Linked DNA regions of Macaca fascicularis. The protein of the gene in region 2 interacts with the protein of the main gene of each other region in a pairwise test. Links are inferred from orthologs where the notes say so. Each region holds a gene or a part of one and is shown on either strand. Other genes may lie near its edges. The genes, in order: RPLP1 and NUDT21.

Region 1 (7,055 bases), on a different chromosome or scaffold from region 2:
CGCGCTGCACTGATTTTTTAAAAAATTTCTTCTAGAGGCGGGCATGGATTTAAGTGATCCTCCTGCGTCAGCCTCCCAAAGTGCAGGAATCACAGGCATGAACCACCATGCCTGGCCTATGGTTTTAATATACAGGTTGGGCATTCCTAACCCGAAAATCCAAAACGTTCCAATGAACATTTCCTTTGAGTGTCATGTTGATGTTTTGTTTTTTGGGTAAGGGATGCTCAAGCCATATATTAAAAACACAAAACTAGCCAGGCATGATGGCTCATACTTGCAATCCCAGCACTTTGGGAGGTCAAGGCGTGCAGATCGCTTGACACCAGGAGGTTGAGGTTTGTCTACAAAAAATTAGCCAGGCATGGTGGCATGCCTGTAGTCCCAGCCACCTGGGGGTGGCTGAAGTGGGATGATTGATTTGAGCCTGGGAGTTTGAAGCTGCAGTAAGCCATGACTGCACCAATGCATTCCAGCCTAGAACCCCTCTCAAAAAACTTAAAACTCTTTAATACTGACACCTACATACTCCTACCCATTGTTAACTGCACCTTACTCAAGATCCTAAATTGTTCACCATCCCATCTTTTATATTTCTCTTATCAGATGCATATACTTAATGTCTTTGCTCAAAGTGTTGCTTTGAACATTCCCAGGCATGTATCCTCATGTCCACATGTAGTTTCTCTTGAAGTAGAACTGCCATTTTCCCCAAGTAGTTGCAGTAACTTATACAAATGGTCTTTTTCACATTGACATGACAGCCCCGGCTAGAAGTCATGCTTTTCATCACTGAATGTCTTCATCTATTAAATGCTAATGCAGATAAGGATAAGACTCATTCATGTGCCTGGCATGTCATTAGCTGCTCTGAATACACAATACCCATGGTTTATTATATAATCCAAGCCTGAAAAGTCGAAATTTCCATTCATGGTATTTTTTTTTTTTTTTTTTTTGAGACGGAGTCTCGCTCTGTCACCCAGGCTGGAGTGCCCGGCTAGTTTTTTGTATTTTTTAGTAGAGACGTGGGGTTTCACTGTGTTAGCCAGGATGGTCTCGATCTCCTGACCTTGTGATCCGCCCGTCTCGGCCTCCCAAAGTGCTGGGATTACAGGCTTGAGCCACCGCGCCCGGCCTCATGGTATTATTAATTGGCAAACAAAAAAAGCTCTTAGCTTTTGGAACCCAGGTTTGAATCTTGTTTTATCCACTTTGTGTAACTGGGGACCTTAATAAACTATGAAGTAAACTTTCTGCATTCCTTCAGTGTTACCCAAGCATTTGGTGAGACATTACACAGCTAGGTCTTAGTTTCTTTACAACCTTGGGATGTAGCAGTCAATTCAGCATAGGTCAAAGTTCATTATTAGGCAGGGTTGTATAGGGTAATTACCCAGGAGGCTTTCTAATGCTGGTCTGTATTACCCTCTGCCCCCAGTGGAGGGGACACACCTTATAATCCTCAAGTTTATACAGGTAACCTGGACAAAGCAAGCATCTGCTCTGATCTTTCCTCCTGACACCCCAGTGCAGTTTTTAACACTGTACCATGAGGTGCCTTCTTGTTAGCATCAGGATTGTGTATAATCTCACATCTGGCAACGGTGGCAGGGAAAATCCAGCCTGTCATGGCAGAATAGGTTGAAAGCCAACATTACAAAACTGATACCATTTTTGCAGAGCGCATTCCCAAGCTATGGGCAAGACCAACAGCAGTAAAGTTCAGCTTTTTATTGAACACGTTATAAAAGAGATTTAGTCAAAAAGACCAAAGCCCATGTCATCATCAGATTCCTCCGATTCTTCTTTCTTTGCTTCCACTTTCTTCTCCTCAGCTAGAAAAAAAACAGTCAGGTGTTAGGATTTCCATACATCATCTGCTTGTGGAAAATTAATGGCAATTTTACCTATAATACTATATATATTTTTTAAATCTCTACACTCCTCCCAATACTAGAAACTCCATGTTTCCTACCTGGAGCAGCAGCAGTGGAGGGGGCAGGACCTCCTGCTGGTGCAGCACCAGCTGCTGGAGCAGGTCCACCAGCCCCTACATTGCAGATGAGGCTCCCAATGTTGACATTGGCCAGGGCCTGCAATACATGTGCATGCATAGGTAAATGCCCGGTTCTGTCCTTGTTACACAGCACTCACGCACCAAAAACGAAAAGTATCCCCCCTTCCAGGTTACAGTGATCAACCCCTAACACTATATACAGTGGGTTCCACATCCATGGTTTCAACAGTGGAAACGCATGCATACCAAACATGTAGACTTCCAAAGTATACAGGAGGATGTGCATAGGTTATATGCAAATACATTTATATAAGAGATGGAACATCCTGGGATTTTGTTATTAGTGGAAGGCCCTGGAATCAATACCCTAGACACTGGCTTTTCTTTGCTAACAGCAAAAACTTAGGTTAGACAGGGCAACACACTACTGTTCAGCTTTCAATCGTTCAGCTTTGAATCTGATAATTACTTTCCTATATGTTAAGAACCTCCTGAGGTAGCTGATTTCCCCTCCTTTTACAAATAACATGTTGGCAAAAAAATAATCCAAACTTCCTGAAACACTCAAATGAATATTCTTTGCACAATTCCATGTCTCCTCTGAACAGTGAACTCAAATTTTCAGTCTTCTAAACATAGGACTTAAAGATGACATAGATACAATGTTTACAATCTTTCAAAACTCTTTAGAGGACACAACCCCGGAGTTAGATGCTATCAGCTTAACTTGCCAGAGATTAAGTAACCTGTACAATGGAAAATAGCCAGTGCAAGCTCCATGACCAGGAATCTCGTCTTTATTAGTCTTTTATATCCCAACACATAGTACCTACTGTGTCAATAAAGTCCGCTAAACCCAAATGTCCATTAAACCACAGGTTTAATGCAAGAATTTGCTTGCAACTTTAACATGGGTAGTACCTATCTCCCGGGTGATCCTTTTTGGGAATCAATGACCTGATTCAGATTTTTTTTTTTTTTGACCATGGTTTCAGAGCAAAAGGGGAAACCAGAGTCTGATAAGGAAACATAAGACTTGAGAAACTGAAATCTTCTTAGCTCCTAGAGATATAAATGCAACCAAATACACCTAGGAGATCCAGCGGCATGTGGGGCCTTATGGCACTGCTGGAGGTACTTCAGCATGTACACCTGCCCTCGTAAATCAGCAGGCTTTACCACATCACTTTGCCACCATCACCTTACCTTTGCAAACAAGCCAGGCCAAAAAGGTTCAACATTTACACCGGCTGCTTTAATGAGGGCATTGATCTTATCCTCCTACAACAAATAAAAACGTCAATCCATCAAAACATAGCGTATGTAGTATCTCCAAAACGCTGCAAGTCAAAGGCAAGTCACTCAATAAAAAGTGTACAGGACATGTTTAACCAGCTCAAATATTCTATCACAAGCAAAAGAGATGTGTGCCAGGCGCCCTGCAATGAGGCGAGCCCATCACTGCTGTTTCACGGGCTGGGACTTGCCTGAGTCACGCGGCTATTTTTAAGTTAGGACCTGGAAGGTGGAGCCGAGCTGGGGCGCTATCCTCCACGACCCGGGGAATTCAAGGCAATTATACCAAAAGAGTTCCAAGTAAGTGTCCCTGAGAGAGACGAGGCGCGGGTCAGGGTGCCCAAGCGCTGCGGAAAAGCTTTTCTACACGAAGGATCTTGGAGCCGGAGAGCCCAGCCTCAAGCGCACTCCACGCCCCCCGGGCCCGCACGTGGTCCCGGGGGCCCAGGTCCCGCTCTGCGAGAGAGGCCCCAGCCCCCAGGAGCGCCCGCCCCATGCCGCCTGTCTTCGCGGCCTGGCCCCGGCCGGAAGTGCTGGGCCCAACGGCCTGGAGCCCGGAACCGCATGGAGAGGCGGGAGTCGCCGCCCACAGGCAGCCAGGCCGCCGACCCGCGCCCGCACTCACCGTGACGGTCACCTCATCGTCATGCAGAATGAGGGCCGAGTAGATGCAGGCGAGCTCGGAGACGGAGGCCATAGCGCGGGCAAGTGTGGGGCTGGCGCTGCCGGACGCGGTGCTAGTCGCCGGATGAAGTGAGGCCCTCACTCCAACGCGGCCTTAGCTTTCTCGGAAGGACCGAGCACCTTCGCGACAGCTGAGGAAAGAGGTTCTTGCGCCTATGCGCAGTCTCTTATGTGACCACGCGGACCAATCGGCGCCCGCACCGGGCGGAAGAGGCGGACCCAGGACCGATTGAAGACGCCTGCGCGCTGCGCCTGCTTCGTTCTTCCTGTTGAGAAAGTTTCTCAGCGCCAACAGTTACGGTCTCACTTTATTTTCTTAAATTATAGGACTTGAGACGGTTAAAAACACTTTTAGGATAGGGTTGCGTAGGTATTCGGACTTCGCCGCCGTTGGTTCCATGAGCTGCTTGACTTGGCAGGAGCTGCGCTGTGGCCGTGGTGACACTGTTCGTAATCTCCCAGTTAGGTCGCGGCCTTCCCAGCCGGCGCTGACCCTGAGGGTAAAGGCTGCGTCCCACCATGGACGTCGCTGCTTAGCGCTGGGCCTTGGGTGAGATAGATAGATGTAGGTAGATGTAGGAGGACAAGCAAACTAACGGCATTATGATAGCAGTAGCCGTGGAGCGCTTACTATATCCCAGTAACTGAGCCACATTCTACAAGGATTCACGTAATCCTCACACAGCAGGAGTTGGATGTTATCTCCATCTTGCAGATGGCAAAATTAAGTCTTAGAGCCGATAACTAGCCCAAGATAGTGTAGTTACCGCGCGGTGGAGCGTGGAGTTGGAATCTAGAAGCCTTAGACCTGGTAACTAACCCAAGGTTGCATAGTTCCGCGCGGTGGAGCGTGGAGTTGGAATCCAGAAGCCTAACTTCACCGCCTAGTGCTTCGGGGAAGGGGGATTATGGGTAAATTGTATACAACCTGTTATTTGTTATCTGAACCCAATTTAAATTCCTACCTTCAAAAATGGTCACCTTTACATTGCTCGTGGAATTTGCTTAGTTTACTGGAAAGTTAGTTCAAGATTTTTTTTTTTTCGGGAACCTTCATTTAGTCCATCCCATTATTTAATAATCATCTCTGATGAAACATTTCTGTTGGAATCCACCAATCTAGAGTCCTATTTGGGTCAATCTTAACTACAAACAAATAGTTTCATATCCCGAATTTTTTTAAAAAAGTTTTTATAAAGCTATCAAACTTTTTAAAAATAAAGCTACTGAGTTTTCATCCAAATCTAAGAAGCCATTATAGTGGAATTTTGGTCAAGAAAGCTTAAAGCTATTTAAAAATCCAAACATTTCCAAAGCTACAATGAGTCAGTCCAAAATACTGTGTACCTCCAGCAGTGTACTTAAAAAACTGATCTGCCGGGCGCGATGGCTCATGCCTGCAATTCCAGCAGTTTGGGAGGCTGAGGCGGGTGGATCGCCTGAGGTCAGGAGTTCGAGACCAGCCTGGCCAACATAGTGAAACCTCGTCTCTACTTAAAAAACAAAAAAATAGCTGGGCGTGGTGGCGGGTGCCTGTAATACCAGCTGCTAGGGAAGCTGAGGCAGGAGAATCGCTTGAACCCGAGAGGCGGAGGTTGCAGTGAGCCGAGATCGTGCCATTGCATTCCAGCTTGGGCAACAAGAGCAAAACTCCGTCTCAAACAAACAAAAAAAAACTGATCTGGTTGGCAAGTGGCACTTTGTGGTCACTGAGGAAATAATCGTTTTCTCCACGTATACGCACTTTTACAGGGTATCAAACAGTAAGCACTAACCACAGCTATTAAAGAGAAGTAGCTAAGCAAAATGTCAGTACTCATGCATTTCCTTTTGTGTTGTTGAAGGACTTAGTGCATTCAACAGTTACTTCAGACAAATTCCACTGCCCCATATTCTCCTATCATAGTAAAAATTTCCCATTAATATTTTGAAAATACTATGCAATAAGCCATTTAAAATTTTTTTTTTCCTGAGACGGAGTTTTGCTCGTTCCCCAGGCTGGAGTGCAATGGCGCGATCTCGGCTCACTGCAACCTCTGCCTCCCAGGTTCAAGCTATTCTCCTGCCACAGCCTCCAGAGTAGCTTGGATTACAGTCGCGTGCCACCACGCCTGGCTAATTTTTTGTATTTTTAATAGAAATGGGGTTTCACCATGTTGGCCAGGCTGGTCTCAAACTCCTAACCTCAGGTGATTCGCCCATCTTGGCTTCCCAAAGTGCTGGGATTACAGGCGTGAACCACTGCGTCTGGCTAAATTTTTTTTTTTTTTTTTTCAAGTGGGTTGGGACAGGGCATGGTGGCTCATGCCTGCAATTCAAGTACTTTGGGGAGGCCAAGGCGGGAGGATTGCTTGAGCCCAGGAGTTCAAGACCAGCCTGGGGCAACATAGTGAGACCCAGTCCCTATTACTTTGTGGTTTTTTTTTTTTTTTTTTTTTTTTGAGCTAGGGTCTCATTCCATTGCCCAGGCTGGAGCACAGTGGCGCCATCACAGCTCACTGCAACCTCTGCCTCCCAGGCTCAGGCAATCCTCCCACCTCAGCCTCCCCTGTAGGTGGGACTACAGGTATGTGCCGCCATGCATGGCTAATTTTTAAATTGTAGGGATGGGATTTCAGCATGTTGCTCAGGCTGGTCTCGAACTGAGCTCAAGCCATCCTGTAGTGCTGGGATTACAGGTGTGAGCCACCATGCCCAGGCTGTCTCTGTTAAATAATAATTTAAAAAGCAGGCTGGGTAGTGACTCATGCCTGTAATCCTAGCACTTTGGGAGGCCAGGTTGGGAGGATTGCATGAGGTCAGGAGTTTGAGACTAGACAAGGCCACAGAGCAAGGCCCCATCTCTACAAAAATAAAAAATTAGCCAGATGTGCCGGCATTTGCCTGTAGTTGCAGCTACTCAAGAGGCTGAGAGGATTGCTTGAGCCTGGGAGGCTGAGACTACAGTGAGCTGTGATCATGTCATTGCACTCCCTTCTGGGTGACAGAATGAGATCCCATCTCAAAAAAGTAAGAAAAAAGCCAGCCTGGACAACACAGCAAGACCCCATCTCTA
Region 2 (6,268 bases):
TCCCAGCACTTTGGGAGGCCAAAGCAGGCAGATCACCTGAGGTCAGGAGTTTGAGACCAGCCTGGCCAACATGGTGAAACCCCATCTCTACTAAAAATACAAAAATTAGCTGGGCATGGCAGTGGGCACCTGTAATCCCAGCTACTCTGGAGGCTGAGGCAGGAGAATCGCTTGAACCCAGGAGGCAGAGGTTGCTGTGAGCAACCATTGCTCACACTGGATATCACACCACTGCACCCCAGCCTGGGCAACAAGAGCAAAACTCTGACTCAAAAAAAATTTTTTTAAAATAAGCCCAATTGTTAACATCCTGTCAGCCTAATAGAAGTCCAAGAGTCTGACTATTCAGAATGGGAACTCTTGCTTATTCTTCCCCATCCCCTAAACTTTTTTCATTGCTACCTGTTCTCTGATTCAATTACTACAGAGAATCAATCATCAGCCAGTCTTTGCCTAATTACAGAGTGGGGAAGACAATCTAGATACACAGATTGAACATCCCAATCTGAAACTCCAAAATCTCAAACTTTTTGAGCACTGAAATGATGTTCAAAGGAAATGCTCAGGCCGGGTACGGTGGCGCACGCCTGTAATCCCAGCACTTTGGAAGGCCAAGGAAGGCGGATCACCTGAGGTCAGGAGTTCCAGACCAGCCTGGCCAACATGGTGAAACCCCGTCTCCACTAAAACTACAAAAATTAACCAGGCATGGTGGCAGGTGCCTGTAATTCCATCTACTGGGGAGGGTGAGGCAGGAGAATCGCTTAAACCCGGGAGGTGGATGTTACAGTGAGCCGAGATTACACCATTGCACTCTAGCCTGGGTGACAAGAGAGAGACGTCGTCTCAAGAAAAAAAAAAAAAAAAAGGAAATGTTCATTGCAGCATTTCAAGTTTTGTATATGGGATGCTTAACTGGTAAGCATAATGCAAATATTCCAAAACCTGAAAAAAAATCCCAAATCCTAATCACTTTTTTTTAAATTTTTTTGCATATATAGTAGATGTATATATGTATGGGGTACACAAGATGTTTTGATACAGGCATGCAATGCATAATATTCACATCATGGAGAACAGGGTATCCACCCCCTCAAGCATTTATCCTTTGTGTTACAAACAATCCAATTATACTCTTTTAGTTATTTTAAAATTTACAATTAAGTGATTACTGACTATAATCACCCTATTGTGCTATCAAATAGTAGCTAAACACTTCTGGTCCCAAGCTCTCAGACAGGGAATACTCAACCTGTATAAATATACTTCATATATACTTTGAACCAGTCCAGTTTTCAGCCCATGCATGCCCCCACTTTCATAAGTACCTAGCACCTTCAGTTCCTCAGTCATTCTGGTACTCTGCAGTGTTGGATTCTGCCTGCCTGTCTGTTGGACTAAGGTTTCTGCCAAGTTAGTTATAATTTGCCCATCTGTTTTCCAGTTTCCAAAAATTTTGCTTTTGTGAGTCTCTCATTTTGCACTCCCTCAATCCTACTGCACTTACATCTTTGTACCAGACATTACATAAATGGAAGTCCAAGCACAGTAAATGTTTAAGAGTTATAATACATTTTTAGAAATACTAGAAAGACAAACCAATAGGTCAAAAGTAGGAGAATTACAGGTGACTTTAGTTTTGTTTCTCCTTTGCTTTTCTGTGTTTGCCAAGCTTTTTGCACAGAGAATGTATGAGTTTTGTAAAGGGGGCAGGCGGCAACTGCATGTTAAAGAAGAAAACAAACATTGAAAACAACTTACAGTCTCAAAATCCTCAGTATCTATGCATTTGGCCCCAAGTCTTTACATGCAGGCATTACAATGATTTTTTAAAAGTAGAATAATTTGGGCAAAGTCTAAAAAATATGTGAAAAAAGTGAAAACACAGGCGTCTTTCTCTTTTCAAAATTCCATAGAGGCCTACTCTTGAACAAAACTACCTGCATTCAAACCTCTAGCTCTACAACACACTAGCTATATAACAAGAAGTAATTTAAACTTATTAATATCTGCTTCCTAGAGTTGTGGTGGTGATTAAAGGAATTAGCACATGTAAAGCACTTAGAACAGTGTCTAGCACAGTAATACTTAAATGTCAGTTTTTATCATTGCTGTGACACAGTTTAACATTTTAAAAATTGAAGTAAGTGTAAGTTCAACTTGTAAAAAAAATCAACATTGTACTAACATTCTGGGGTTTAAGTTGTATTTATTGAAAACTCAATATTCCAAAATAAACATCCTTTTTACAAGACATTAAAAGCCAAATTAACTATTAAGTTGATGGTATGCAAAGTTAGGTTAAACAGAAAAATACCTCTGTCATTAAGCGTTTTAGTCCTTCAACTTCATCTTCTCCTGGGTTAAGTTCACCACCAGGTCTGTATAAAAGTTAAGAATTTCAGCTTTCAACTTAATGCAATTTGGAGATAACAAAGAACACAATAAATGTTATGTCTATCAAGTCACTAAGTAACATATTTCAGTGTAATAAGGCAATCAAAACAAGTATCAAAGTGAAGGGGGAGAATATGCTTGAATTCATGTCAATTCCCCAGACTAACAGTATACAAACCCTAGGTTTTTTTCCTCTTTGTATATATTTATTTTTATTTTATTGTCGATTCAAGGGGTACATGTACAAGTTTATTACATAGGTATATTGTGTAATGCTAAGGTTTAGGCTTCTAGTGAACCAATCACCAAAACAGTGAACATAACATCTAACAGGAAGTATTTCAACTCTCGCCTCTCCCTCCCGCTCCCCACCTTTGGAGTATACAGTGTTCATTTTTTCCAACTTTATGTCCATATGTACCCATCACATAAACCCTAGTTTTAAACCAACAGAATACATAACATAGCACAAACATAAACAAAATTGCTAACCACCAGTCCATCCCAATCTCGTCTCTGGAAGCTATCTGATGATAATGGAGTCTAGAAATGCCCAGAGAGGAATGGATCATATTCTTTAGGCCTAAACAATGGGACACTTTTTCAAGAGCGCCATCTAAGTATTGGAGACCTTTCTTTTTGGTATAATCTAGTCAAATAGTTGTGGATCAAATGTTTGAGAGATGCAGGAGCTTAAATGACAAAAAAATAAACTGTTATCCACAAAAACCTAAGTCATCTTAAGAATAGGAAATGCAAATCATACCAAGAAAGAAATACCAATTGTTCTTGGTGATGCTACAATGACATCTAGACATTGATCTTGAACTCAACTATTCCACAGGGTTTCTACCAAGCTCAATCACTAACATCGACAACATATAGAAACACGCAGATTACTAGTTAGGAAAATAAACGAGCACCGCAATGGAGAAAAATTACTCGTGATTTTCTCTTTTTAAAGACATCATTAACAGCAGTGTTTGTTGAAATAAATGACCGAGGGCTAAAATTGTAGTCCACAGCTGCATAAACAGCAATCCTACTAAAAACTGTCTTGCTGTTAATTTCCAACACTACTTACAGTTTGAAGAAAGTTGTTCCCAGCTGTAGCAGTAACACATGGGGTAGCCGGTGCTCATGTACAATCAGAACCCCTTCTACAGTCCTCCTCATTCCAATTTTATCAAATTCTTCCCTCATGCGCTGAAATCTGGCTGCCACAGAGCTGTCCTTCTCATAGAGGGGCTCTTTTGTACCAAAAGTATAATTGGTAAGAGGGTACCTGTGATCCAAAGACAAACATCTAACATGAGAACTGAAGAATATAATTTACCATGACAGACATTAGCATAAAGAAACCACAGTACAAAAAAAAAGTGCATATGTTGTACTCAGAGACACAGGATTTGTACAGTTACATAACTAAAGTTAATGAGACAGTAGAGATTGGAATCTTGTTCTCTGGACTCTTAAAGCCAGAGCTTCCGGCCGGGCGCGGTGGCTCAAGCCTGTAATCCCAGCACTTTGGGAGGCCGAGACGGGCGGATCACGAGGTCAGGAGATCGAGACCATCCTGGCTAACACGGTGAAACCCCGTCTCTACTAAAAAAAAAAAATACAGAAAACTAGCCGGGCGAAGTGGCGGGCGCCTGTAGTCCCAGCTACTTGGGAGGCTGAGACAGGAGAATGGCGTGAACCCGGGAGGCGGAGCTTGCAGTGAGCTGAGATCCCGCCACTGCACTCCAGCCTGGGCGGTGGCTCAAGCCTGTAATCCCAGCACTTTGGGAGGCCGAGGCGGGCGGATCACAAGGTCAGGAGATCGAGACCACAGTGAAACCCCGTCTCTACTAAAAATACAAAAAATTAGCCGGGCGCGGTGGCGGGCGCCTGTAGTCCTAGCTACTCAGGAGGCTGAGGCAGGAGAATGGCGTGAACCCAGGAGGCGGAGCTTGCAGTGAGCCGAGATCGCGCCACTGCACTCCAGCCTGGGCAACAGCGTGAGACTCCGTCTCAAAAAAAAAAAAAAAAAAAAGCCAGAGCTTCCATGAGATCAAGCTACTCCTCCATACTTTAACTTTCAAGTGTAGATAACACTATCCTTAAATGCTTAGAGAAATGGTTATCTGAACATTAGTAATCCTCTGGTTTTAGACCATGGCTGCTATTCCAACAAGACCAATTTGGCTAATAATTAATGTCCCCCTGCATTCCTCTGACTACTAATCTAATCAGAAAGTTTTAATTATGGGTGCTAATGGCTAATCTCTTTTTTCTAAAACTAAGCCACCACTTTTCATCAACATCCCTCCAGTTATTTTCTATTTCTCTCAGTCAACTATCCTCAGATTTTTCTTGCACCACAGCCTTTCCTTTTCACAGCAACTCTTCTACTTTCTCTTTCTGTCCTCTAACCCTATTTACTAGCCTTGGGCATTTATTCTATTCAGTCTCCTTATTGTTTCCTTCTCCTCATCTGAATCTTCTACCCACCCCTTTACCAAGAATTTAAAATATGGCTCAAACTGTTAAAGACAGTTTTCATCTTGCCTAATAAGGATCAAATTTTTCTTTAAAGATACTTAAAAATTCCATACTTATATGTCGTACGCCCTTAATTAAAGCCTTACAGCAAGAAGCCTTTGAGTAAGAATTTACGCCACATTTGCCCACCTATAGTATCTATTCTACCAAAAGCCCTTGACATTAATAGTCAACATTATTGCATCTACTACACTCAGCCATTCTTGAAAGGGGAAAAAAATCAAGGTTGCCAAAACTTTAAAAATTACTTTAAGGCCGGGCGCAGTGGCTCAAGCCTGTAATCCCAGCACTTTGGGAGGCCAAGACGGGCGGATCACGAGTTCAGGAGATCGAGACCATCCTGGCTAACACGGTGAAACCCCGTCTCTACTAAAATACAAAAAAAAAAAATTAGCCGGGCGAGGTGGCGGGCGCCTGTACTCCCAGCTACTCGGGAGGCTGAGGCAGGAGAATGGCGTGAACCCGGGAGGCGGGGCTTGCAGTGAGCTGAGATCCGGCCACTGCACTCCAGCCTGGGCAACAGAGCTAGACTCCGTCTCAAAAAAAAAAAAAAAAAAAAAAAATTAATTTCAGAAGCCAAGTTCTAGGCATATGAAAAAGCTATAAAAGAATTAAAATATACCATTTCAAGGATGCTTTAAAGATTTAAAGAACATCCCCAGTAGACCCAAGGCTAAATCTAACACCATCATCCATAGCAGCGGCAGATATGCTACACAGCACGATGTGCCAGGCAATTTTTTCAAACGCTTTACATATATTAACATTTAATTCTCACAACCTGAGTTAGAAAGAATTAAGGATAGCCATTACACATCTCTGTTGCAAGAGCCAGCTCCAATATATCAGTAATGTCAAGATGAAATGTCAGAATTTTCACCTGTGAAATCAGAGTGCCAGCCCAGACATACATATTGTTCTCATCATACTGTGAGCTTCATAAAGCAGGGGCTACACCTTACTTCCTCACCACTGTATATCCAGTATTGTGCACAGTGCCTGGCACAAAGTAGGCATTCATGCAATATTTCCTGAAAGAAAATATACTGGGGAGGCCGGGTGCGGTGGCTCAAGCCTGTAATCCCAGCACTTTGGGAGGCCGAGACGGGCGGATCACGAGGTCAGGAGATCGAGACCATCTTGGCTAACCCGGTGAAACCCCGTCTCTACTAAAAAATACAAAAAACTAGCCGGGCGAGGTGGCGGGCGCCTGTAGTCCCAGCTACTCAGGAGGCTGAGGCCGGAGAATGGCGTAAACCCGGGAGGCGGAGCTTGCAGTGAGCTGAGATCCGGCCACTGCACTCCAGCCTGGGTGACAGAGCGAGAC

The links.
Region 1: the proteins of NUDT21 (region 2) and RPLP1 interact in a two-hybrid assay, tested with the Homo sapiens proteins (2 studies listed by BioGRID and IntAct). The link is inferred for Macaca fascicularis from reciprocal best matches to the Homo sapiens genes NUDT21 and RPLP1.

Annotation. Positions count from the first base shown.
Region 1 is NC_088381.1:46,246,871-46,253,925, reverse strand, and holds RPLP1 (large ribosomal subunit protein P1), read right to left. Parts: upstream 4,144-7,055; 5' UTR 4,014-4,143; coding exon 3,942-4,013; intron 3,302-3,941; coding exon 3,227-3,301; intron 2,097-3,226; coding exon 1,979-2,096; intron 1,839-1,978; coding exon 1,759-1,838; 3' UTR 1,720-1,758; downstream 1-1,719. UniProt on the Homo sapiens protein: Plays an important role in the elongation step of protein synthesis.
Region 2 is NC_088394.1:52,507,357-52,513,624, forward strand, and holds part of NUDT21 (cleavage and polyadenylation specificity factor subunit 5), read right to left. Parts: intron 3,683-6,268; coding exon 3,482-3,682; intron 2,382-3,481; coding exon 2,318-2,381; intron 1-2,317. UniProt on the Homo sapiens protein: Component of the cleavage factor Im (CFIm) complex that functions as an activator of the pre-mRNA 3'-end cleavage and polyadenylation processing required for the maturation of pre-mRNA into functional mRNAs.